3 linked regions of the Rhinolophus ferrumequinum genome follow. The protein of the gene in region 3 purifies or fractionates together with the protein of the main gene of each other region. This does not show direct contact. Links are inferred from orthologs where the notes say so. Each region holds a gene or a part of one and is shown on either strand. Other genes may lie near its edges.

Region 1 (7,934 bases), on a different chromosome or scaffold from region 3:
TAAATGAAAAAATGAAAACTATAGAAATAAGTATTAATATGGTTTGATACAACAAGTTTATAACACGCACAGATTAGCAGGAATTTTCTAAAACATATTAACAGTAGCTATCTCTTGGTGGTAGGCTTACAGGTGATTTTTCTTTCTAATTCTACTATGAGGTATTATAATAAAAATAATTTAAAATAATAAAATTTTCGCAGCAAAAGAAGAACACCTTAAAATACTTATTGCAAGAATTCTATCAGTACTAGCTAAAACAGAAAAATTGGACTGTATCCCGCAAGTATTGAGAAAGTATAGAAAAATTTTATAACTTTATGCCTGAAAGCTCCAGATTTCAGCTGAAGGGTCAGTTCCTTTGATTCCTCATTCTATAGTAAGTTCCTTGGTTATATGCTCTTGTAAGTCCAGGCTTATTCCCCTTCTCAGCTCTTATTTCAATCGCAATTATAGACTCATTTCCATTACCATTTAATTCATATCTGTCTCTTCCACTAGACGGTATATTCAGTAAAAGCCAGGCATCATCTGTTTTTACTGATCACCACATCCCTAACGCCCTGAATTGTGCTTGCAACATGGGCACTCAGTATTTTTCAATGGACAAATGATAAACAGTGAAGGGCTTCTATTCAGTCCTCTCAATAAATTGTATGGCTCATAACATACTGACGAGAACTTTCATTCAAACATTAAACTCAAAGTTTAAGAGACTCCAAAGTTTTAACACCATCCCATGAACTGTAAAAACACTAGTTTCATTCTAGAAACAAGAGCATAAAAGTCAAAAACCAAATTTCCTACTTTGTGGTAGTACTCATAACTGTGTTCACAAGTATTTCCATATAAGGAGCTAAAGGATTTAATATTCTACTTTAGGATATTTTAAATGTTTAGCTGGGGGAAGTGATCATTTTTCCATTCAGTACTCTGATGTTCCTCACCCCACTCCCAACCTCCAAGATTCAGGTTACAGTTTTCTACCTTAAAGACATCAAGTTATTATTTCACATCCAATACGTCTAAAATTGCATTCTTCTCACTTTGCCACTTCATTTTCATTCTTTCAGGAAAGAAACTGCAGTTCCATGTTTGATTCCTTCTCGTTTTACATTTCATCAAGTGTATCTATCTAAATTCTTTGAAATGTCTTACAATCCTCCCTCCTTTTTATTCTTTCTCTCCAGTCTCCAAATCACCAACCTAACTATGGATCAAATAAGTCACTTGCCTTAATTATACCTCTGAATTTTATCCCCTGAAACAAGTCTCATCATATCACTTTGCCACTAAAATCAAGGGTGTCTCACTATTGTTCTTAATGGTTCTGCTAAACTATGGTCTCCTGACAAGCAAACATCAGCGTCCCCTTGGTGAGAACTTGTTAAAAATGCAAAATCTGGGCTCTCAGACATAATCAGAAACTACGATTCTGATGCACACTAAAGACTGAGAATCACTGGTCTTAAAGCACCGAATCTAGAGATTCCTTTACTCAGTTAGCTTTGAAGGCTGTCTATAACCTGGTCCTATCTTCATTAATCTTATTTCCCTTGAGCAGATAAAAACTTTCACTCCAATAAAGCATTTCTTCATGAAGTCCCAAAGGTTCCTTTTCACCTGTCTCTACTCATGTCAGTACCTTCTCATGTCTACCCACACCACTTCCCACTTCCAAGGCCCAGTTCATTTTCTATCTTTTCTATGAAAGTATCTCCAACAACTGTAATTCACAATAATATCATGCTTATTGAAACCAATATTTTTATAGCTAGTGCTAGCTGGGTTACCATGTAATTACTTGCTATTTTGTTTTGTTTTTTTAAAATATGGATCAAGGATTTTCTGTTCTGGTCCATTACTATAATTCTGGACACATAGTACCTGTTCAACAAAGCCCTGCCAGGGTGGTTACGCCTCCTTACTGACTTTTCTTCTCTGGAAGGTACCACAGGTGAAACTATTATTCCAGCAGGGATCTTTCACATTTTCCTGAGTCATCTAACGACATGACATCGACAAATTTCCTCTCCCCAAACAGAAAGATTATAAAATGTTGCAACAAGCTAACTACGAATCTCAAAACCCAGAAAACCGAAGGGTCTCTGTGACACCCAACAGGACACTTCTAAGTTACCACTCCTCCACAAACTTGACTTTCAATTAATTTCAGAGATACATTTCACTCAGCTGTTCAATGGACCATGACAGGCACGCGGAAGCCTGGGCACATTACCCACTGAAATGTAACCACTTGAATTAAGGCGTTCCAAAGCCACAGGCAGACTATTTTAAAAAGTTATCCTGAAAGACAGGATGGAGACAGTGGGAGTGTGGCAGACGGACGACCACCAGAAGTTCGCTGAAGGCCTCCTCCTAAAAAGGGTACATCAATGTTACATAAGAGGGAAACAGAGCAGCTGCGAAATTTACTGCTTACGATAACAAATGAGTAAACGTAAATGAAAACAGGACGTCAGTGTTACCCACAGAAATTGTTTCTGCGGGTGGGCAACAACCAATGTCTAAGGAAAGCGGCCTGAGAGGAAAACAAAACTTTTTCTGACAGTCGGATCTTAAGGGCTCAGCTGACGGGGGCGGGGCGGGATTTGCCAGACGCGAGACGCGGAAGAGGCTTCCTGCGGCCCCGAGAAAGGAGAAGGCGGAGACCCGGGGGCCCTGCAGTCTTAGTACTCTCAAAGACGTGGCGTCACGTGTGGTTTGTCTGAGGTGGAGAAGCCGCGGAGGGACGCCAGGGCCCACAGTACTGCTAACTAATGATACGACTCACCTTTCCCATTCGGAGGCAGTGGTAAAGTCCGTGATCTCAAATACCTCGGACTCGGGCTACGGGAGCGGAAAGGATAAAAAAAAAGAGATTGAGGGCCGGGGCGCTGATGCAGAGGAGCGAACTTAGAAATAGGTATAGATAGAAAGTAAACACCTCACCTCACTGTCAGCCGCCATCTTGAAGAACGCCGGCGAGCGCTAGGGATGTTGGGAAGAAGAGCGGGAGGGCAAGGGGAGGAGGAAAAGAAGGGAGGAGAGTGGGCGGGGCTTGCGAAAAGCCCCGCCCTCTGAAGCGCAGCGGTCTGTTAGTGAGTCTTTAGAAAAAGTCTTCACAGGCTAAAATAATTAGGTTTTTATAAAATGCTTTGAACTTGAAATTTTCCTGTAAAGGAATGAATTCAGGAAGGGAACAGAAGCAAAGATAAAACAAGGCTGTAGATATCCATGGATGAGATTGAATTAAAAAGCCTAAGGCAAAAGAATGGAATCTTGCCATTTGTGACTACATGGATGGATCTAGAGGGTATTATGCTGAATGAAATAAGTCAGGCAGAGGAAGATAATCATGATTCCACTTATACGTGGAATCTAGAAGCAAAACGAGCAAACTAAAACAGAATCATAGAAGGGTGGCCTACTGGCCCAGTTGGTTAGAGTGCAAGTGCTGAACAGCAGGTTTGAGGGTTCAATCCCACATGGGACAGGGAGCTGTGCCCTCCACAAGTAGATTGAAGGACAACTACTTGGAGCTGATGGGCCCTGGGGAAACACACTTGTTCACCAATATTCCCCCAATAAAAACAAAAACAAACAGAATCATAGAAACAGAGACCAAGGGGATGGTTGGTTACCAGAAGGGAGGTGGAGGGGAATGGGTGAAAAGGGGGAGAGGAATATAGTCGACAGTATTAAGTTTACACAATGACAGATGATTACGAGAATTTTTGGGGTGATCACATGTAAGGTATAAAAATGTCAAATCACTATATTGTATACTCGAAACTAATATAACTAATATAAGATTGTATACCAACTATATTTAGAATAAATAAATAAATAAAAAAGAACTAAAGTACATTGAGTTTGTTTTCATTCATCCTCTTTTTATTGATTGCAGAGCACTAAGCTAGGTGCTGTAACACCCTCCCCCAACCGCGTCCCCTCTAAGAATTTACAGGGTGATTAATCCAGGAAATAAAAATCACCGTGCTAGGGACCTGGTTTCTGAGAAGAGCAACATGCTATTCAATGAACACTTCCCTTTTTTAAGCCATTGAGGAACAGAAGGGGTTTTAGGTACCATTTAATAATTCTATCTCATACATACTGACGTACTCACAAATAAAATGATACCATGCCCAGGATTTGCTTGAATATGGGAACTCAGGGTCTAGTAGGGAAACTGGAAATGTGCTGCACAAAGAGAAAGAAGAGGTGCTACATGTGTCAGCGTCACTATTAGCAACGTGGAGGTTAATTAATGATAATCTTGACAAGAAGAATCTTGGAGGATAAGAAGCGGGCAGCCAGGTTGAGGGTAGGGAAGGCTTATAAGCGGAGGGAATAGCACGTCTAGAGGCTCCAAGGCAGGAAAGTCTGATCTGTCTAAAGAACCAAAGAAGAGCACCTAGAGGGTAGTGTTGGGGATGAAGTTAGAGAGGTAGGTATGACCAGATCATATAGGACCTTCCAGGCCAGGGTTGGACTTTATTTGAAGCACAATGGAAGCCACTAAAATGTTTTAAGAGAGTGATGTGATCCAATTTACATCTTGTAATAGCCTGGATGCTATATGAATAGATTGGGGGGTGGGTAGGACAAAAGAAGTAGCAATAGCTGGTGATTATTAAAGCATCTAGTGAAGATGGTGTAGAGACTTTGATTAGGGTGGTCGGCAGACCAGGTGAACTTATGTGATATGTATTTTGGAGATAACAATAGATAGACCGGACTTGATGATGAATCACATGCAGGGATAAGGGAAAGGAAGGAATAAAACATAAATTTCTGGTTTCTAGCCTAAGCAACTCTATGAGGATGATGCTGTGTCCTGAGATGAGTAAGATGGGAAGGAGCAGGGAAACTCTGGTTTGACAAGTGTAAAGTCTGACAGGCTTGTAAGACATTCCAGGAAAGTTGTCAAGGAGAAGGTTGGGTATAAGAATAGAACTTTGTGAAGATATAAATTTGGGAGTATTTTAAAAAACAAGAATAGATGGTATGATTTAAAAAGAGACTATAGAAAGAGAATTAAAGAAGCCTCATATAAAGGCCTGAAGAAATTTCGTACTTAGAGATGGATAAAGAAAAAGTATTCGGTGAAAGAGACAGAAAAGGACTGGCTAGAGAATTAGGAAAATAAGGAAAGTGATGGCACAAAAACCATGAAAGGAGAATGTTTCAAGATGGTAAATATTGATTGCTGCTGAAAAATCAAGTGAGAGAGGAATAAAGGGTGGAGGGTGATTGATTGTTTTTGTTTCTTGGGTTTTTTGTTTGTCTTTAAGGCAGAAGATAGTACAGTTAACCCTCAAATAACATGGGTTTGAACTGCCCAGATCCACTTACACGCAGATTTTTTTCAACACTGTCAGGCCTTTGTATCGCGGATTTCACATCTGCATTAAACTAACTATGGATGGAAAACAGCATTTTCGCTTTCCCAACCAGATTCCCAACTGTGGATCGAAAATACTGTTTTCCATCCCTGGTTGGTAGAATCTGAGGATGTAAAAAGCTGACTGTAGAGTCAAAAGTTATACTCGGATTTTCGGATTTTCAACTGTGCTGGGATTGGGGTACCCCGCCTCCCCCACCTACCCCACCCCACCCCACCCCACCCCCGCTGCGTGTTCAAGGGTCATTGTGTTCGTATGCTGATAATAATAATCTAGGCGAGAGAGACTGATGGTGAAGGGGAGATGGAAGAGATGGAGTTCTTGATAACGTGAGAGGAGGAAATCCAGAGGTGGCACCATTCACACTGCATTCTGAAGTCTTGCTTCACGAGGTACCACCCACAGAGATCACCTGGAGCTGTACAGCAAGGTGGTACCAGGAATTCAGAGCAGATGTAGCGGGAGGAAATGAAGTGATATGTGGGAAGTTGGCTTTCTTTGAGAAGGGAAACAAGGGATGAAAAAGACGGATACAAACATAAACATCTGAAGATTTGTGCATATAAAAGGAAAAGAGTTACTTGTTCACTTAACTTTTCAAGTCTCACCAAATGAAATAAGTCTGTAGGTTTTAAGGTCAGGTAAATCCACGTTTAGCCATTTATTAATTATATGACTGAGCAAATTACTTAACTGCTCTAAACCTCAGTTTCTTCATTAGTAAAATGGGGCTAGTGATACTTCTTACTCCATGGGCTTGTGGCAAAGATCAAGTTACATATGTACATCTGTAAAATGGTTAGCACATATCCTGGAATGTAGTAGGTAACCAATTATGGTAGTAGCATTTATAATAAATGTGCTATGAAAACCACATTACCAGAGGAGAAAGGGTCTGGGGGAAGATTGAAGAGAGTAAAGAGGGTCAAATATATGGTAATGGAAGGAGACTAAACTTTGAGTGATGAGCACACAATGCAATATGCAGATGATGTACTATAGTAGTATACACTTGAAATCTATATAATCTTATTAACCAATGTCATGCCAATAAATTTAATTAAAAAAAACGACAACCATAAATGCTACTCACATGTAAGGAATTACTTTTTTTTTTTCTCCTTGCTTAGCCATGAAGTTTCTGGACATACCAAAATCAGAAACAAAAAAAATCACAAAGCCTTTGCTGCATAAAGTTAAATTTTAGAAACTGTATGAAACAGCCTTATCAGGTTGCTAGGTAAAGTTTTCTTCCAAGATATTTTTGGCTCCTTGTCTTCTCCTGGGAGAAACTTTTAAAGTAAGTTATTTGTTAAAGCGAAGCGTGAAGCCAGCATGCTAATGATGTAAAGTACCCAGGGGAGACACACTTTTATTAGATTTTCACTAGTTCACAAAGCAGAAAAGATTTTGTTTCTTCTGCATTAAGGGTTATTTTGCTACACATGCAATGGCAAGGGCTTTTCCATGCAAGGGCATTTTCTCTTTGGCATAATTTTCAGTTATGTCAAGGTGTTACCAATAATGGCGATGGGGAGAATTTTGACGCATAGGCAATTTAAGAAATCAGAAGCCTGGAAAAATCACCCGTGGCTTAGTCCTCAGAGGAATGTGGGAAACTAACAGTTTAATTAGGTCTTCGTAAGAGAGCAAACATTGTTTGTGAGAGGAGCAACAACAGTGGTACTACACCATCCTCATCTACCTCGATGGTCTCTGTGCAGAGAGAATCAGGAATTTTCTATGTCGCTGCCCTGAGAACAATTGCAATAGAAGGTAGAGCTGGAAGGGGAAGACATGCTGTGAGAACAAGAAACTCTTTAGAGAGGCATTCTTTAAATAAAAATTATCCAACGGCATTTATTCATTCATTCGGTAATACTTATTAAGTATTTACTGTCATGGCACTGTGGTCAATCCTATGGAGGGATTCAAAAAATAATCCTTGCCCTCAAAGCGCTCACAGTCTGAGCTAAGACATAAAGAACTATAATATGGTTTAGAAAGGGAGTCATGATGGTTATCCAACTTCTTAAAACTCTTCGTAAAATCAGTTGGTAGGAAAACATTCAAGTGACCTTTCAGAACACACACACACACACACACACACACACACACACAAAATATCTTATATTCTAATTAATTAGTCCACTATTTTTTGAACTAGAAAAAGGTATAGTCAACAAGGCAAGGAATCTCCAGAAAATTTCAAGAAAAGTGATACAGTCTTCATATACCCACCATTCAGTAGTCACTTTTTTCATTCAATAAACATTTGTTAAAAGCAGCTGGTATGTGCCTGTTCTAGAAACTGGGAAATAAAAATATAAAAACAAAGTTTCAAGTATAAAGTAATTGAAGATCTTCCAGATGATAATAATAAATCAAGAGCAGCTAGTTCCAATTCTTATGTTTGTAATTTAACTTGTCTGATAGATTCAGAAAAGACAGTACTTGCTGGCAGGTTGATTTATTTTGTCCATGTTTACCGGTTCTATTTTTTAAATATTTTAATGGGTCTTA
Region 2 (7,717 bases), on a different chromosome or scaffold from region 3:
CTCGAAAGACGGCGTCCCCGCGTCCGCCTCGCCCATCGCCGCGCCCGCCCGCCAACTTCCAGAGCCCGGTGCGCCGGTAGCCTACCACCACCGCCCCAGGCGCGCGTGCGCGGGCGCGTTTCTCCGTGTGCGCGTGCGCTGGGGCCAGTGCCCGCACCACGACCGTTAGCACGGAAACATAGCCCGCAGAGTCTAGCTCTGGTCTCATTGGAGGAGGAACTTCGAGGGGCGGGGCCACACGCGCATCGCCTCCGGGAATGATCTCAGCGCCCAGGCAGCTCAACTCAGCTCCACCCGCAGGCCCCACCTCCCCAAGGGACCACGTCGGAGCGTGTGCGCATGTGCACCAGCGTGGCTGCAGGACCGGATGCGGAAAGGTGCGGAAGTTGCGCGGGCGCAGAGCCTGGGCGATTGTGGCAGTCCGCACGAAGGCGGCACCCTCGGCACCCCTTCGAGCCCGCGCGCGCAGAGTTAGCCACTCTCCGCCGCGGGAAAATCTGCTGTCAGAACGCCCATTGCGCGTAACGCCGGGAGGGCCAAAGCATTGCAATGCGGCCCGCTAGTCTACGCGTCCCTGTCTCGCCCGTTCGCCGTCGGCCCCGCACTTACCACGTTCGTGTCCCGCTCCAGCGCCGGTTCCCAGCCCAGGTCCCGGGGCCCGCAGCAGTCCAGGCAGACGAGCGCGCGGCAACGGTAGTGGCAGGTGAACTTGCAATCTGTAGAGAGGCCTGGCCGTGAGACGGAGGAGCGCCAGCCTGGCGATGCGTCCCGGGGACGGAAGAGAAGCCCCGGGGTGAAGGCCATTGACCACCGGGCTCTGCATGACCGGCCATTTCAGGCCCCGTTACCGCCCACTGCCACACAGATTCTAGTGTTGGTCCCCGGCGTCCGGAAACGGGCAGGAAGGCATCGGGCTGTTAGGGAATCCAGGCCTGCTCTAGCGCCTAGCGCAGAACGTCCCCCTTCCACATTGTCAGCCCCCTCCCAGTGCCCTTGAAGGGGAAAATAGTTTTAATCCACGGCCCCCTCCAGTCATCTGTCTCAACTCCCCTCACACTAAAGCTTATCAACACTGATCTACATGCACTGTAATTTTTTGCCTTCACTCTTCTCTACCTATTCCAGTAGGGCTTGCCCCTCCCTCCAGGAAACTGTCCTGGTCTCGGTCCCTCAGCAACAGGCTCAAAGCCGATTCCGGTGGTCCCTTCTCTATCCTCACCTCAAAATCTGATGCTGCTCCCCTTGGTTCTCATGGACCCCCATGACCCCGATTTTCCCTCCTACTTCCCTGCAGCTCCTCTTGGTTCTGTCTCAATTCCCAGATCTAATGGCAGGCAGTGTCACAGAGGCTCAGTCTTGATCGCTTCTCTGCTCTGTGTACACTCACCCAGGATCCAAGGCTTCCATCAGTGGCCTCCCTCTCAGATCAACTCCTATGTGTCAGTACCTTCACTTCGATGTCTAATAGACATTTCAGTTCAACATGGCCAAAATTGAACTCACTTTTTTTCCACTTCTCCTTACCCTCACCAGAGTTCCTTGTCTCAGCAAAAGTTGCTACTATTCTCCCAGTTGTTTGAGGCAAACAAAACAACAAAAACCCAAAGCCAAATTTGTCCTTTATTCCTCCCCCGTTTCTGCCTCTGACACATACCCAAATTGTCCTGTTTTTCATCTCCATGGCCACTTTATTCCTGCTGGCGAACACTGCAGTGTCCCAGCCCTTATTCATGCCTTGTATTCTGCCACATCTCCGGTGTCCCCCAGCTGAATTCAGGACAGAGTCCTGTACTGGATGAGAGGGTCTCCATGCACACACAGACAGGCCTGGGACACCTTCCCTAAGTTCTTAAATGGGCCAGAGCAGTGATTCTCAACCCAGGCTGCACATTAGAAAGATGTTTTTAAAAATCCCTGATAAACTCCCAGTGATTGATTAAACAGGTCTGAGGTAGGGGCCAGGCATAGGGATTTGGAGGGCTGTACAAGCATCCCAAATGATTTTAGTTCGCAGATAGCCAGTGGGAGAGCAACTTCTGCTTGCTGTTGATTACCAGGAGGGCAGAAGGGCTGCTGGTGTGTGGGTGTCTGGGTCTCACGTTTTAGCACCTAATTGACAGGGTCTGTGATACATAATTGCTATCATCAAAATTCCTGCTTGCAGGGGGCCCGCCCAAGGTTCTAACTTTTCCCAAGCCCCCTCCCATAGGTGCGAAAATTCCCTTCACCCCAGGGATTCTGGAAGGGGACATTGGTGAGTGAACCTTTGGGAAGAGTCAGTCCTGGGAATATGGACTCAGAGACTGGTAGGCACAAAGCCTTTCTCAAGAAGGGCCAAGGCATTTTAAAGGTAAGAAACTTGAAATCAGCACCTTATTATTTACAGACAACTGCCTCTACCCAACTGTGCCCCAGACACGGGGGGCGCAGCAAGGATATAAAACATGTGCCTACACTCTCTTCCAAAATGGGGCAAAGGTAACGGACCTGGTCCTCAGGGACTGTCCCCACCGACCCTCCCCCACCCACACACACACACAACTTGAACTGCAGCGACGGTGCTGCCCCTTGACCACCCATTTCGCTCTCGCCAGCGCGTGGGGCCGCTACTCACGCGCGCACTGCAGGCCCTTGCGCACGACGCCCCAGATGAAGTCGCCGCAGAGGTCGCACCACGTGTGCGTGGTGGGCCCCGCAGGCTGGAAGCGGTGACCTCGGCCCGGGACCGGCTGCCTTGCCGGATTGCGCGCTGTGCCAGGCGCGATGCGCAGCGCGTTGGCACGCTCCAGCCGGGTGCGACCCGGGCGGGCGCGCCCCACCGGTGCCAGTTCCCGCAGTTCAATGAGCTCAGGATCAGCGGACATGGCCCGGTCGGCCCAGGCTCCGGCCGGCTCTGGGCGCGAACGAGCGCGGGGCCGGTAGGACCGCGGGGCGGGCCCCGATGCGGCGCCGCCCCTGAGATCCAGGCAGAGCGGTGGGCGAGAGCCGAGGAGAGCAGCTCAGTAGAAACCGGGGTGCCCAGACTGTGTCGGCCCGCAGGCAGAGTGGGGCCGCGGTGGACTCTCGCGGTGTCCCCGCCCTCCTTTCCTTCCCTCCCTTCATCCCACGAGCAACTCTCCTCCCCCTAACGACGACGACCGCAAAGGGCCACGCGGAGACAGGCGTGTTTCTGGAAGCCAGCTTTACTGTGCAAGAGGAAGAGGGTCCCCACATCCGGCCCCCGCCCTTGTCCCTCCTCCCCCCAGGCCTCCTGCCCCAGCTGAGGCAGCGCCCTAAGCCTACCCGCTGGGTGCGGCAGGAAGCGGGGAGCGCTTTGCTGGGGAAGATGGGGCAGCAGCTCCAGCCCGCCTGCTGGGCTCACCACCTGGGAAATTGGGGCTCTTGCAGAAGCCAGGCGGAAATGCTGAGGTTCAGGGGCACATTCTAGCTGGGGTGTATGGAATGGGTGGCCCGCTCTCAGGAGCTGCAGTCTTCACTTTGCTCTGTCACCTTGGGCTGCCAGGACACAAGCCTTTCCATGCTTCGCCCAGTGCTTGACTTGGCACTCCCTGCAGGCAAGTGGGCCTGTGAGGATGCAGCGCTTGTGGAGGGTGTGGAAGTGTGGCTTAGGGACCCGCTAAGGTCCCAGGATACCCTCACCTGCAGCAATACCACTCATTCTGGCACCGTGAACAGCGCTTCGAGGCCTCCGCACTGCAGTAGGCACAGCGGGGCCGCTCTGGAGCCACTGCCTCTAGCACATCCAGCCTGTAGGTCTCAGCCCACCTGGGAAAAGGGTCAGGGAGGGCTGGCTGGGCCTCATGGGTGGGGGCACAGGAGCATCCCTGCCTACGTCCATGCCTTCTGCATCCCTCCCAGCACTCAGCTCAGCAGGCCTCACCTTCGGGCTTGCAGCCGCAGGTCCTGCTCTGAGGGGCTGAACATCTGCTGCAGTTGGTGCTTGGCAATAGCCTGCCACTTACCTCTGTTTTCCTGCTGTAGGCGCTCCCAAATTCCTGGGATCTGGGGGAAGGAAGGAGAGCATGGCAGGGAGGAGCTGGCAAAGTGGGCAGTGGTCCTGAGCAAATAACTGCCTAGTACCTACCTGCTCTAACACCAGATCCTTCTTAGGGGGCTGGGGTTCAGCCAGGGCCAGCTGGGCCAGGAAACCCTGTAGGTCTGCCAGGTTGGGCAGCTGGTCCAGCAGTGTGTCTGTGAGGAAGGCCCGAAGCTGAAAGGGTGTCAAGGAGAAGCCAGTGTGAAGTGGTGCTGACCAGAGGGTCAAAGGACAGAGAAGGCCTAGGCTGGGCTGAGGGTTCCTGCAGGGCCCACGTCCCACTGGCTGCTGTGTTACCTGAGGCCCAACGTCTGGAAACAGGACTGGGGCTGAGGGAGGTGGGCAAAGATAAGCAGCAGTGATGGGCTGAGACAGTGCTAGGACTGTGGGGACAGTATGGGAGGAGGTCCCCACCTTGAGTAGCTGTCCCTTGACAAAGCTCGTGATGCAGTAGCGGGCTCGGGCCTCAGGGCTCAGCAGCAGGTTGTACAGGGCAATCCACACCTGCCCGTCCAATTTGCTCAGCTTTTGCTGTTCTGAGGGGGCCACTGTCTGCCAACGGCCACCCTCAAATTGCTGCAGCTTGCCTGGGGGGGAGAGGAACCAGCATATTGGGTGCAGGCGTTGCAGGCTCCTTGAGAGAGTGGCTGCGTGGGTTGGGGAACAGACCATTGCCTGGCACAGGTCTTGACCAGATTGTGATGCTGCTTGCTCCAGAGCATGGTGAAGCCTCAGTAGTGGACACATGGGCCTCGCCTGCTGCAGAGCCCAGGTCGAGGCCCACTCTGGGTGAGGCATCCTGGTATCCTCTGTGGGCTAGGGGGCAGAGTTTGTCTGCCTGTGTTCAAACTGCCAACTCCCATCAATCCTGGAGGCTGTCCTGGAAGCAGTGAGCTGGGGCTTAGGCAGGGGGAGGAGGCTCTTACCTCCTTCCCGCCGGCTCCAGGGACTGTGCTCCAGCAGTTCCACCAGGAGGCAGGGCAGGTTGTGGGTGCTGAGCATGTGGCTCAGGGTGCTCAGAGAAAGGCTAGGGGCGAGGGTAGAGAGAGGTGAGCAGAGGCGACAGGCCCAGGCTCCCAGCCCTGCACTGCAGACCCTAGGCCGGGCAGGCCAGCACACCTGTCCACGCAATCTGTGATGTAGCGCAGCACGGAGAGCGCCTTCAGTGTGATCTCAAATTCCATCAGCTCTGCCTGCTTCTGCAGCTCCTGGGGAGCACATGTGCTCGTGGCTGGGGGAGCCTGGGTCTAGCCCTTGACAACCCCAGGGAACCTCAGCCCACCTGCATGGGGGTGCTGTACTGGGACTCCTCCCTCTCAGGGGGGCCTCCATGGCCACTCCGGGCCACCAACAGAGTCAGTTTGCGGTGGCAGTAGTCCACCAGGTCCAAGACCGTGTCCTCTGCCGACTCACACACCTCCTGGGGGTAAGCGGAGGGGAAATATTCTGTCTCTGAAGCCCCCTCCCCACAGATACACCCCTCTTGCCGCCAGGCCCTGGCCTGGGGAGTAGCCAGTGGTGGGCAGGACTGGCGGCTCACCTTGTGGAAGAACACTGTCTCCAGGAGGTTGATGATGGAGGCCTCATGGTGTACCTGGCAGATAAAAAGGAGAACAGGGTCCGAGGATGCTGATGGAGGGACAGGGGCTACCACTCCCCTCTCTAGTCCAGGGCTCTCTGAAGGGGTGAGCGGGGTATGAAGCAGGAGTCCAGCTCACCACCATGTATATGGGAAAAGTGTTCTGGGGCTCGAAGTCTTCCAGCCTGCACAGCACAGGGAACACCTTCTGCTTCCACATCTCCACTGCGATGAGCTCCTCCACCAGCGTTGGGATCTTTGGGGCGGGGTGAAGGACAGGGATGAGGTGGGCCTGCCTTGGCCTGGCAACCCTCCCATTCCTGGCTCAGCCCATCCCAGCTCTCCTCAAACTCCCCGGTGCCCCTAGACTCTCCTACGCTCCAGGAGTACCTTCTCAACTTCTCTCCTGCACCTTGACCTTCATTTCCCGTTGCCCCCGACATCTCTGTGGGGGCATCTCCTGTGCTCCCTGTGACTGGCCCTTGCCGTCTCTCCATGCTGCCTTGCTCCGCCTGTACATGTGCCTTTGTCCGCTCCTACCCCATCCAGGTAGCCCCCAGCCCTCCTGCTCATGCCCTCCCTTTTGTCCCTGTCCTCTGGCCTGCCAATGTTCTGGTGTGCCTTGGCCTGGCTCTTACCCAGGGCCCTATTCCTACCTCCTACCCGACCTCCCAGTAGGGGGCTCCACCTTTTCCTTGCAGGGGAACTCTTCTGTCAAGTGATATCTCAGGTCATCTCCTGATGCCACCTCCAGGCTCATGTTCCAACCGAGCCAATCCCTGGTTTCTAACTCCCTCTGTCTCATATTGGGAAGGCTGCCTCCTTCCATGCCAAAGTTCCACCCGCACTTCAGTGGGGGCCCCCTCCAGCCTGACAGTCCTTTCAGGAATGTCTTTAGAACTTGGTCCCTTCCCCTGCAGCCTACGCTATTCTAGGGTCCATGAGTATCTCCCTCGTCAGCCATGCTCTGCACCCGGCCTGGCTCGCCAGGGGTGCAAAATCTAATGTGTAACACACTCTTCCTCCTTCTTTGGGGAGGACAGGTGTACCAGCTAGAGGGAAGAGCAGGCACCCAGGGTATTCCTGAGGGGTAGAGTGGTAGGGTGGGGGGAAGGCAGGAACCCTGCCAGTGACCCCAGCCTACCTTCCTATGTGTGACCAGCAGCTCCTGGATGGGCTCACCCTGGCTGGCGGTGGCATCAAGGATGGCCTGCATGTTCAGCTTCTCCAGGTTCTCATGCTGCTGGTTCCACCTGCCCCAGAGGATGTGTGTGCATACATTTAGGTGCACATGTGTACAGTATTGAATGGGGTGAGGGCTGGGTTCCATTGAAGCTTAACCTGGTCCTGAGACCCCAGAGGTGGCTCAGTGCCGTATACATCAATTTCAGATAGCTTTACCTCCTCACCTGCGGGCCCCTCCACACTGGGCAACCCCTGCCCCCACTGTCAGGACTCCCCCCACTCAAGGACTGACTGCCTGACTCCGCTCGACCCTCGATCCAGCTGCCTCACCCTCCGGAGCCTATCTCGCGCAGCGGGAACCTGCGCAGTCCCCGCACCACCACATCAGCCTCTCCCGGCAGCAGCAGCTCCAGGTCACCCATGTCAGGGCCGGGGACAGAGAGCGGAAAGGCGGGGTTCGGCTGACTCCGGGCAGCGGCCGGCGCTGAGGTGGGGGTGCCGACACACTCGAGGACAACGGTGTTGCGCGGGGCGAAAGTCTGGGACCCGAGAGTTGCAGAGCGGTTGCGGCGCGTGGGTACTCGCCGCCTTGGCAACGGCTACCTCGGCGCTTGCGCAATATGGCTTGGGTCCGCCCCTGGCCGCCGCCGGCGCCGGGTCGGCACTACCGGGTTCGCCCCGGGAGGGTAGCAACTCTTCCGACTCCTGGAGCTTTCTCCCTCACAACCAGCTGCGGCTCGCCGGTCTCCCGAGTGCTAGACTCCTGGGGCCCAGGCGCTCTCTTCGGACGGAGGCCACGCCGCCCCGCCCTCCACCAGCTCTTCCAGCAGCCGTTCCTCCCCGGCCCACACCATTGCTCCTCCGCGGGGCTTCCTCGCTCCAGAGCCGCCTGTTGTTTGGACCCCCGAAATACTGCG
Region 3 (7,635 bases):
AACATCAGGAGATTGTTAATTCTGAATGAATCTCCTTACTTACTATTGAACTGCGCACTGGAATACAGAGAGGATTCCGTCAAAGCTAAGTACTTACTTTTGACTAAAAGAATAACATTAAGGAGGAAGAAACCAAATACCACCAAGTGTCACCTAATTCATCCTATCCCTCCTCTTTCCCAATCCTCCCCATTACCCCACCTGTAAACAGAAACACACAGCAAACCCCTGGGTATCTAAGTATAAGCCCTACATTCTCTCACATCTGCGGTAGAACAAACCACACTACTCCCTTGCCCAACCCTTTCCCCCGCTCCTCAACGGAAAACAAGCTTCTTCCCAGAATGCTTCCTTAAGGAAAGAGAGGGCAGGGAGCAAGGAGCTTCTTGCCTCATACACACTTGTTTTGCCTCTGACATAACATCTATATGCCTTTGATGTCTCCCTTCAGCTGATACCTGCTGAATGAATTACTCATTGCTTAAATACTCTGAATACAGGGACAGCAACAAGCTTTCAGTAAGTGTCTGCCAAATAAATGACCCAACTGAATGTGTCCCTATAAACTTTTCAATGAAACACTTTTTCAGTCAATTTTAAAAGGTAGTCATTGATGTCCAAATTTTTAAAAATGGGCCTTGTGAATTACTTTCATCCACAGCACTAGAACAGCCTATTCTATACTCATAGCTAGTAATTCTTCAATATATAAAATAAGTAAAATATACGGATGTCATTGTGTAATGTTTTTGGTTAACTTGCTTCTCTATTATAAGTCTCTTACTATGGCAACATTACAACTTCTCTAGGGAAAAAGCTTCAAACTTTCGGTATTTCCTGGCCTAAACCTAGTTAAAAAGGCTTCCAAGTCCCTAACAGCAAAACACACACGGTTATCCAATAAAGGAAATTTCCTCTATAAACTCAGCCTGTCAAAGAGTAAAAGCAAAATACTTAAATTCTGGAAAGAATACACACCATAAAGGTTTACACTAAATTCCTCCAATCTAAAATAACGACTATTTGAATTAGGTAATTTCATAATTACCCACAGGCTTTTCTTTTTCTTCCAGTTAAAACTATGTGTAATCATGCCCCACGCACCAACTTGAAACGTAAAATGCACTTAGTGCCCGTCAAGGTATTTCGTAGTTGTCTTAAAACCAATCCTGACCTAACAAGCAGCTCACTTACGTTTCCATTCAAAGATACTTACAAATGCACTAAAAAGCTTGCAAAATAAAGGAATTATATAATACTACTCTAACATAATGCCAGAATACACTCTTTTAAAATTCCTAAAACTATTTACAACTTTTCTTATGAAAAATATAATTGTGCTGAGTGACACCTTATCACCCTTATCAGGCGTTTGTTGAAAAACCGCAAACGTAAAGGCAAAAGTCACAAACACTTAAGATTCCGCAGCAAAAAAAAGCTAAATGAAAGGACTAAACAGGAGCAAATACCAGGTCTGCTCTACGCGGAAGGTAAGCTGAAATGTCCTATCGGAGGACCAGGAAGACGTCTCCTATTAACTTACTATCAATTCTCGGGCTGACGCAGAGCTTTCCTGCCCGCACGCGCTTGGGTCTCTGCCAATACAACCGGGTAAGTCATAACCAGAAGACTTCGTGGGCTTCTCCGCCTCCCTAGCGCTCGATGTACCTGACAGCCGACTTACAAACTGGGCAAAAAGGCAGGGAGCAAAACCCTCGGCGTGGGCCGAGGGCGGGCTCCACCCAGCCCGTCCTCAGAAGGCGGACTGAGGCAGCGGAGGCCGAGGAGTGGTTCTCTCTCGGAACCGAGTCCAGGGGCTGCCGCGCCACTGGCTCGCCGCGCCTCGCCTCCCAGCGCCTGTGACAGCCCGCGCGGGAGACCGCGGCCCTTGCGCCAGCCCCAGAGCCCCCCTTTCCCCCGCAGACCAGAGCGTAAGCTCGAAGGTCACCGCCCACCCACGCCCTCCCAGACAACGCCCGACGGCCCTCCAGGACTAAGGACAAGTGCCAGACGCGGGCAGCAGCGCGGGCAGCACCAAGAGGCGCCCCCGCGGGACCGCAAGATGGCGGCGGCGGCGCCAGGGCCTGGCCCCTCCGCCTCGCCCGGGCTGGCGCGCGCACCGAGGCGCGAGCGGCCGAGCGAAGGACTGGGCCCGGCTGCGGAGCAGGCAGGCCAAGGGCCGGAGCGAGGCGCCGCGGGAGAACGAGAGTGCTGGGGCGTGGGGGAGGGGACGCTCAACTAAGGCCCCGGCCTCCGACCTTCCCTCCACACCCACCGCCCGCCCCGAATCAAGCCCTCCGCCCGCCCCACCCCAGTCAGGGGCTGCCTTTTTCCTACCTTTGAATTTGAGGTCTGTGGGCGGGTCCAGGACCAGGATCTGCTCGTGCTTCGCCATGGCCCCAGAGGCGGACGCCATCGGAGACAGCGCAGAGCGGGGGCGCGCCCGCGGCGGCGGTTTGCTGGCTGGAGGCGGGGGACGACGGTGGCGCCGGCTCACCCGAGCTCTGTGATGGGGCCAGCGCACGGCTCCCGCACCCCGACGCTTGCCGTTCTGTCGCCGGGTCGGTAGGCCTCCCGCTGGGTCAGCAGCTTCGGATCTCACAACTGACTCAACCTCACACCAGCCGTCGCGGCCACGCGCACTGCGATCCTCGGCACCCCACGTGACAGCTTTTGCGTGCCTACGTGCGCGCCCCGGGAGCCAGGACTCCCTAGCACTCGTCCCGCCCTCGAGTCCTGCCCTAAGAGGCGCGGGCTGTTGCGCCTGCGCACTCCCGGCCTCGTCGGCGCCCGGAGCATAGCCCAGCTGTCAAGGGAACGGGTGTGGAGAGGGGCGGAACCAAGTTCCGTGGAACTAATGCGGTTTGCACTGCCAGGCAGGCGGGCACAGTGCTCGTTCACGCTTAGCTGCTATTACAAAACTGGAGAACCCGTTGTGGTAGTGCATCACCATCTCCCAAACGGGAATACCTAACGGAAGGAAGGAGTAGTCAGACTCACTCACCACAACTCCCAGCATGCTTTGTGCGGAGGGCGGAGCCGCTGCCTACGGCCTGTTCCTTTTGCGGCACTGCGCGATGCTTGCTGGGAATTGTAGTAGTGGCTGTTCGTGGACGGGAAGGAGAGTAAGGTCTCTTGGAGGCCAATGGGCTTGGGCGTGCTGACACTCTTTTTGGCTCTCCGATGGCCTCTCGTCTGCGCTAAAAAGAAAACAAAAACTTTTGGAGACTGACCTGAGGTCCCCTGGTTAGAAATAAAAATATTCTCTTTGGAAAACATGCCGGGATTTGTCGGTTTTCTCTCAAATCCTACCCGATCCTCTATTAGTAGAGGTAAATTCTGTGTCGTATTCCAATCCAATCTCTTCTGCTTCCTGAATACTCCAGTGATGCAAAAGCAGATGAGGAAACGAACCTCATTTTAAAAGCAAACGCGTCGTTGGGGAAATCTGACAACGCACACGTATAAAGCTAAAAATAAAGTCAAAATCTACAGCGTTCAGTTGCTGTAGTCAATTCATCAGTTTTGATTAATGGTAGACCCAAACCAAAACAATTGTCACGTTAACATACAGGAAATGAATTCCATCTGCATCATTTACGGTGGCATGTAGCAAACTGAGCCAAATTAGAAAAATCTCAGTAGCAAAGTTGCTGACAAATCTTTAACCGATTGCCAAGGTAATGGGGATAAAATCATTAAATGAAACAAATAAATGTGCTATAAATAAACCTACTTGAGTTTAAATTCCTAGGAAGTACCACGAAACAAAAGACATACTGATGTTACTACCATGAAAGAGCAGCCCAGGTAGTCTAGAAAATAAATGAGAGACAAATGGGAACAGTAGTGGAGGCGTAGGCACAAAGTCCAAGTTTTCAGGTGCAATCCATGTATCAGAGCCCATGTGGGAATAGCTCTCTGGACTACATAGCCTAGCATTCACAGAAGATTGTGCTACACAAGAGGAATGTATCTTCAGTCATGAAAAATCTCAGAAGATAGGAGTGCTTAAGTAGTTTGAAAAGCATATTCTAAATTTACCTTTCCTTTGATTTCTATTTATTAACAAAATTTATTTTAAATGTCAATTACCATTAAAGGAGAATACAAAAATTGTATGTTTACCAAAAGGGGGGGGGGGGGCTTAGAGCTTTAAAAAAAAAAAAAGTCGAGGTTGACATTCACTCCACAAGATAGTGTTCCACATAATTTTAGTTATGAACTGACAGCCCTAAAACTGACACAAACTCCAATTTTTTGCTTGCCTAAGATGTCTTATCCATGGGCAAGTTAGCCGTGGCTGAAGTGGTTCCTCCACAGCGAGAATGACACTTCTCTTACCAGAAAGCATATGAATCCCCACTGTGCAAACAACCAATTAGAAGGTATAGCATGCTGAGGAAGTTCCCAGTCACTCCCCTATGGGACAATGGCTGCCCATTCACCAAGAGTTCAATAGGAAGCCAGAATTGGATGTATTCCAGTTTCCCAGTCTGTATCATTAAGAAACCTCTGCCCATTTAAGTCATCATCTTTGGAATCAACTGTTTTTCTCTTCTCGATATTGCTTCAAAAATCATATAGTACAATCTTAAAATCTATAGGAATTTAAATATACGGTAATCTATTTCAGTGGTTTGTGCTTGTATATTTATCAATACCTTTCTCAAACAGTTCAAAGAACTTTACAAACATCATCATACACTACTCAGAACAACTTTATAACAGTTAACAAGTGTTAATTTATTGTTAAATATGAAAATGAAAACACAGGTGAGAGCATCTCACGTCAGTAATGGAGCTAAACTATGGAAAGTTACCTAATTTTTCATTCTGTGCATTTTTGCTCTTCTCAGTCACAATAAAATGACAACCAAGAGTAATTAAAGCAACCATTTAAAATGTAATTGACTTATCTAAGGTTTAACACTTAAGCTAGGAATGGAAAGATATATAGCCTAATGTTCATTACTCTTTTTACATTGATTAACGCAGCTCTCCTGAGATATTAGCAAAATATATCCAAACGTATTTCTCTAGCTCTCAAGCTTTCCTGAGTATAAGAGGTGTGAAGACCTTGAATATTACTTCGACCTACTTGAATTACTAATAATATTCACCTTTGGACAGATTATCTCATGGGTTTGGCAAGGATTAAAAAAAAAAACTACCAGTTTCCAGTACAAATGCTATTAACAATGTATACCATCTTCTCCATAGTTAAACATGTTAAACTTTAGAGGAGTTCTATAATTCTGAATATGTTTATGATCAATTTTCTGCATAATTCAATTCAGTAAACATTTAAATGGGCACGTTTTCAATAAATATTAAAGCAGTAAAATGTATTGAATAAGAGTACAGGCTTTGGATCTGAACTGGTGGGTTCAAGTCCTGTTCTGCTCTATGTGGTCTTAGCAACTTACTTGAACTCTTTGTACCTGTTCTACATTGGTAAATTGGGGAGAATGATAATACCTATATCTGAGGTTTGTTATGATAATTAAATGAGTTATTACACATGAAGAGCTTAGAATACTGCCTGATTCCAGGACCGTTTCCTTATTAATGTTAAATGTTAAATTATTGCTGTGTGCTGGGCACAGTGGTAGGTTATACAGTGATGAGCCAATGGACATGGTCTCTGCCCTTACAGGCTTATATTCAGGCAGGAGAGACAAACATGAATGCCCATTTGCAGCTAGGATTCTGTTCTTGAAATAAGTTCAACTAGTGAAGTACACTCATGTGATAGCGGAAAGTTAGAACTGAGATGGAGGCCAGCTTTTTGCACCTTCTGGCTATTTTTCTGCTGAAGCAAGAGCACAGAGACTTGAGGCTTTTTGCCTAGCATTCCAGTGCCCATGTACCAGCTTCCTGGATGTCAAGACACAGTTAATTGTTGCAGGGTCAGCAGAAGAAGTAGTTCCTTCCTGAGTCCAGCTTCCTGATCCCTGGGTCAGAGGTAAGAGGGGCAGCCTCAGAGGCAGCAGCTGCCCTGATGGGGCAGTTTATTCTTGCCCTGGGAGTTATTCTTCATCTAGAGCCTGCTCCTCCACCCTTCCCCAAAATTTTATTAGCACTTAATTCCCTTTATTGTGTTGCTTCCTGCTTCGGATTTTAGAGTGCTGCAGAGAGTCAGGTGTCATGGAAGCCAAGAATGGATCAAGAAGGTCAATAGCGTAAAAATCTGCTGAATTGTTAACTATAAGGTGAGGACTAGAAAACTTTCACTTGACAGAGTAACATGATGCTGCAGGTAAAATATGAATGAAACAGAATCACTGCACACGAAGAGCTCTTTCTAAAACTGATACATATGCTTTAGAGCGATAACCAACAGAAATATGCATAAGGTCAACAAGTATCACAGAGACGCAATGCTTGTATAAATGTGGATATGTTGGTGGGGCTTATTGTAGCATATATGTCAAACTTCTGTGAGAAATATAGGTTCCAAGAGAAGGCCGATGGAAGCTGCACCAGATCAAATCAAGTCTGGAAAAAGAAGAATTAGGAAAAAGACTTACCCTGGGACTTTTCTTTGTATGACAGCTTAAAGCAGTTAAAACTATATGATTAAGCATCTTTGTATATGAAAAATAATTTGAATAATATGTGTTTTTTCAATTAATCTTTTATACTGTAAAAGCAATATGTCCTTATTGTAACAAGTGGCACAATCCAAAAGCAAATGAATAAAGTTGCCTCGTACACCTCCAATTTCCACTCCCCGGAGGTAATCAGTGCTAACTGCTTGGATTGTGTATCACTCCCCAACTTTATCCATACTTATAAAAACATAGCTAGTTTGGTTTGGGGGCTTTTGTTTTGTTTTGTTTTACAAGAATTCTAACATATTACTTCACAATTGCTTTATTCACCTAACAGTGTATTCTGGATATCTGACAAGGTCGACTGGCATCAAACTCAGTCTTTTAACAGCTGAATACAGAGAATAGATTCTGAATCCAGAAAATACCCATCTATGGTACCATTTGTTCCCTATTGATGAATGTGTAAATTGTTCTAGGCTTTTGTCACAACTAATAGCACGGCAATAAACATCCTTATACACATTTCCTTATTACAGAATGCTTTTATTTCCACAGGGAGATTCCCAGTGATGCAACCACTCTATCAGTGACATTTCCTATTTCAATACATACTACATACTGTTTATCCAAAGGGTTGTTGTAGTTTATACTTCTATCAGGAATGTATGAAGGTGGCCATCTCTCCCATTTTCACCAAGTGCTAGATCCCACCCCATACCAGCAACAGAAGAAGGGCTGCGTATAAGTATCCAAAATTGTTTGGGTCAATAGTGTTGGCCTCCAAAATTGTACATTTTCATTGAATCCATCCTTATTCTTTGAACCCATCTTCTCCTCTTGATATTCCATTTTTCTTCTCTGGACTACATAGATTACAGCACCTGTAAGCTAAACAGATTCACTGCAGTTAATAATGTGTTTTCTCCCACAAATACAGTTATTCTTAAAGGAAACCAAAGGTGCTTATGAACATTAAATACACATTTGACTCCCTGCCTGACTTCTCATAGTCTCTGAACATACAGGCTTCTTTGTATAGCCCTGACAAAACCTAGAGTAGATGTGGGTGAAGAAC

The links. The genes of interacting proteins can lie anywhere in the genome.
Region 1: the proteins of VAPA (region 3) and RAB3GAP1 purify together in Homo sapiens (affinity purification with mass spectrometry; 4 studies listed by BioGRID and IntAct, counting the BioPlex papers as one, with this or other methods). This does not show direct contact. The link is inferred for Rhinolophus ferrumequinum from reciprocal best matches to the Homo sapiens genes VAPA and RAB3GAP1.
Region 2: the proteins of VAPA (region 3) and RASSF1 purify together in Homo sapiens (co-immunoprecipitation; 3 studies listed by BioGRID and IntAct, counting the BioPlex papers as one, with this or other methods). This does not show direct contact. The link is inferred for Rhinolophus ferrumequinum from reciprocal best matches to the Homo sapiens genes VAPA and RASSF1.

What each region holds. Positions count from the first base shown.
Region 1 is NC_046291.1:83,103,944-83,111,877, forward strand, and holds the start of RAB3GAP1 (rab3 GTPase-activating protein catalytic subunit), read right to left. Parts: upstream 3,020-7,934; 5' UTR 2,971-3,019; coding exon 2,953-2,970; intron 2,853-2,952; exon of another isoform or gene 2,851-2,852; coding exon 2,795-2,850; intron 1-2,794. UniProt on the Homo sapiens protein: Catalytic subunit of the Rab3 GTPase-activating (Rab3GAP) complex composed of RAB3GAP1 and RAB3GAP2, which has GTPase-activating protein (GAP) activity towards various Rab3 subfamily members (RAB3A, RAB3B, RAB3C and RAB3D), RAB5A and RAB43, and guanine nucleotide exchange factor (GEF) activity towards RAB18.
Region 2 is NC_046300.1:6,259,660-6,267,376, reverse strand, and holds the start of RASSF1 (ras association domain-containing protein 1), read right to left. Parts: upstream 3,020-7,717; 5' UTR 2,865-3,019; coding exon 2,615-2,864; intron 1,758-2,614; exon of another isoform or gene 1,655-1,757; intron 717-1,654; coding exon 610-716; intron 169-609; exon of another isoform or gene 37-168; coding exon of another isoform or gene 1-36. Other genes in the region: ZMYND10 (zinc finger MYND domain-containing protein 10), read right to left, coding at 3,473-3,548, 3,640-3,765, 3,881-4,002, 4,085-4,210, 4,451-4,623, 4,963-5,063, 5,156-5,244, 5,319-5,456 and 4 more. UniProt on the Homo sapiens protein: Potential tumor suppressor. Required for death receptor-dependent apoptosis. Mediates activation of STK3/MST2 and STK4/MST1 during Fas-induced apoptosis by preventing their dephosphorylation.
Region 3 is NC_046302.1:8,139,214-8,146,848, forward strand, and holds the start of VAPA (vesicle-associated membrane protein-associated protein A), read right to left. Parts: upstream 3,058-7,635; 5' UTR 2,417-3,057; coding exon 2,338-2,416; intron 1-2,337. UniProt on the Homo sapiens protein: Endoplasmic reticulum (ER)-anchored protein that mediates the formation of contact sites between the ER and endosomes via interaction with FFAT motif-containing proteins such as STARD3 or WDR44.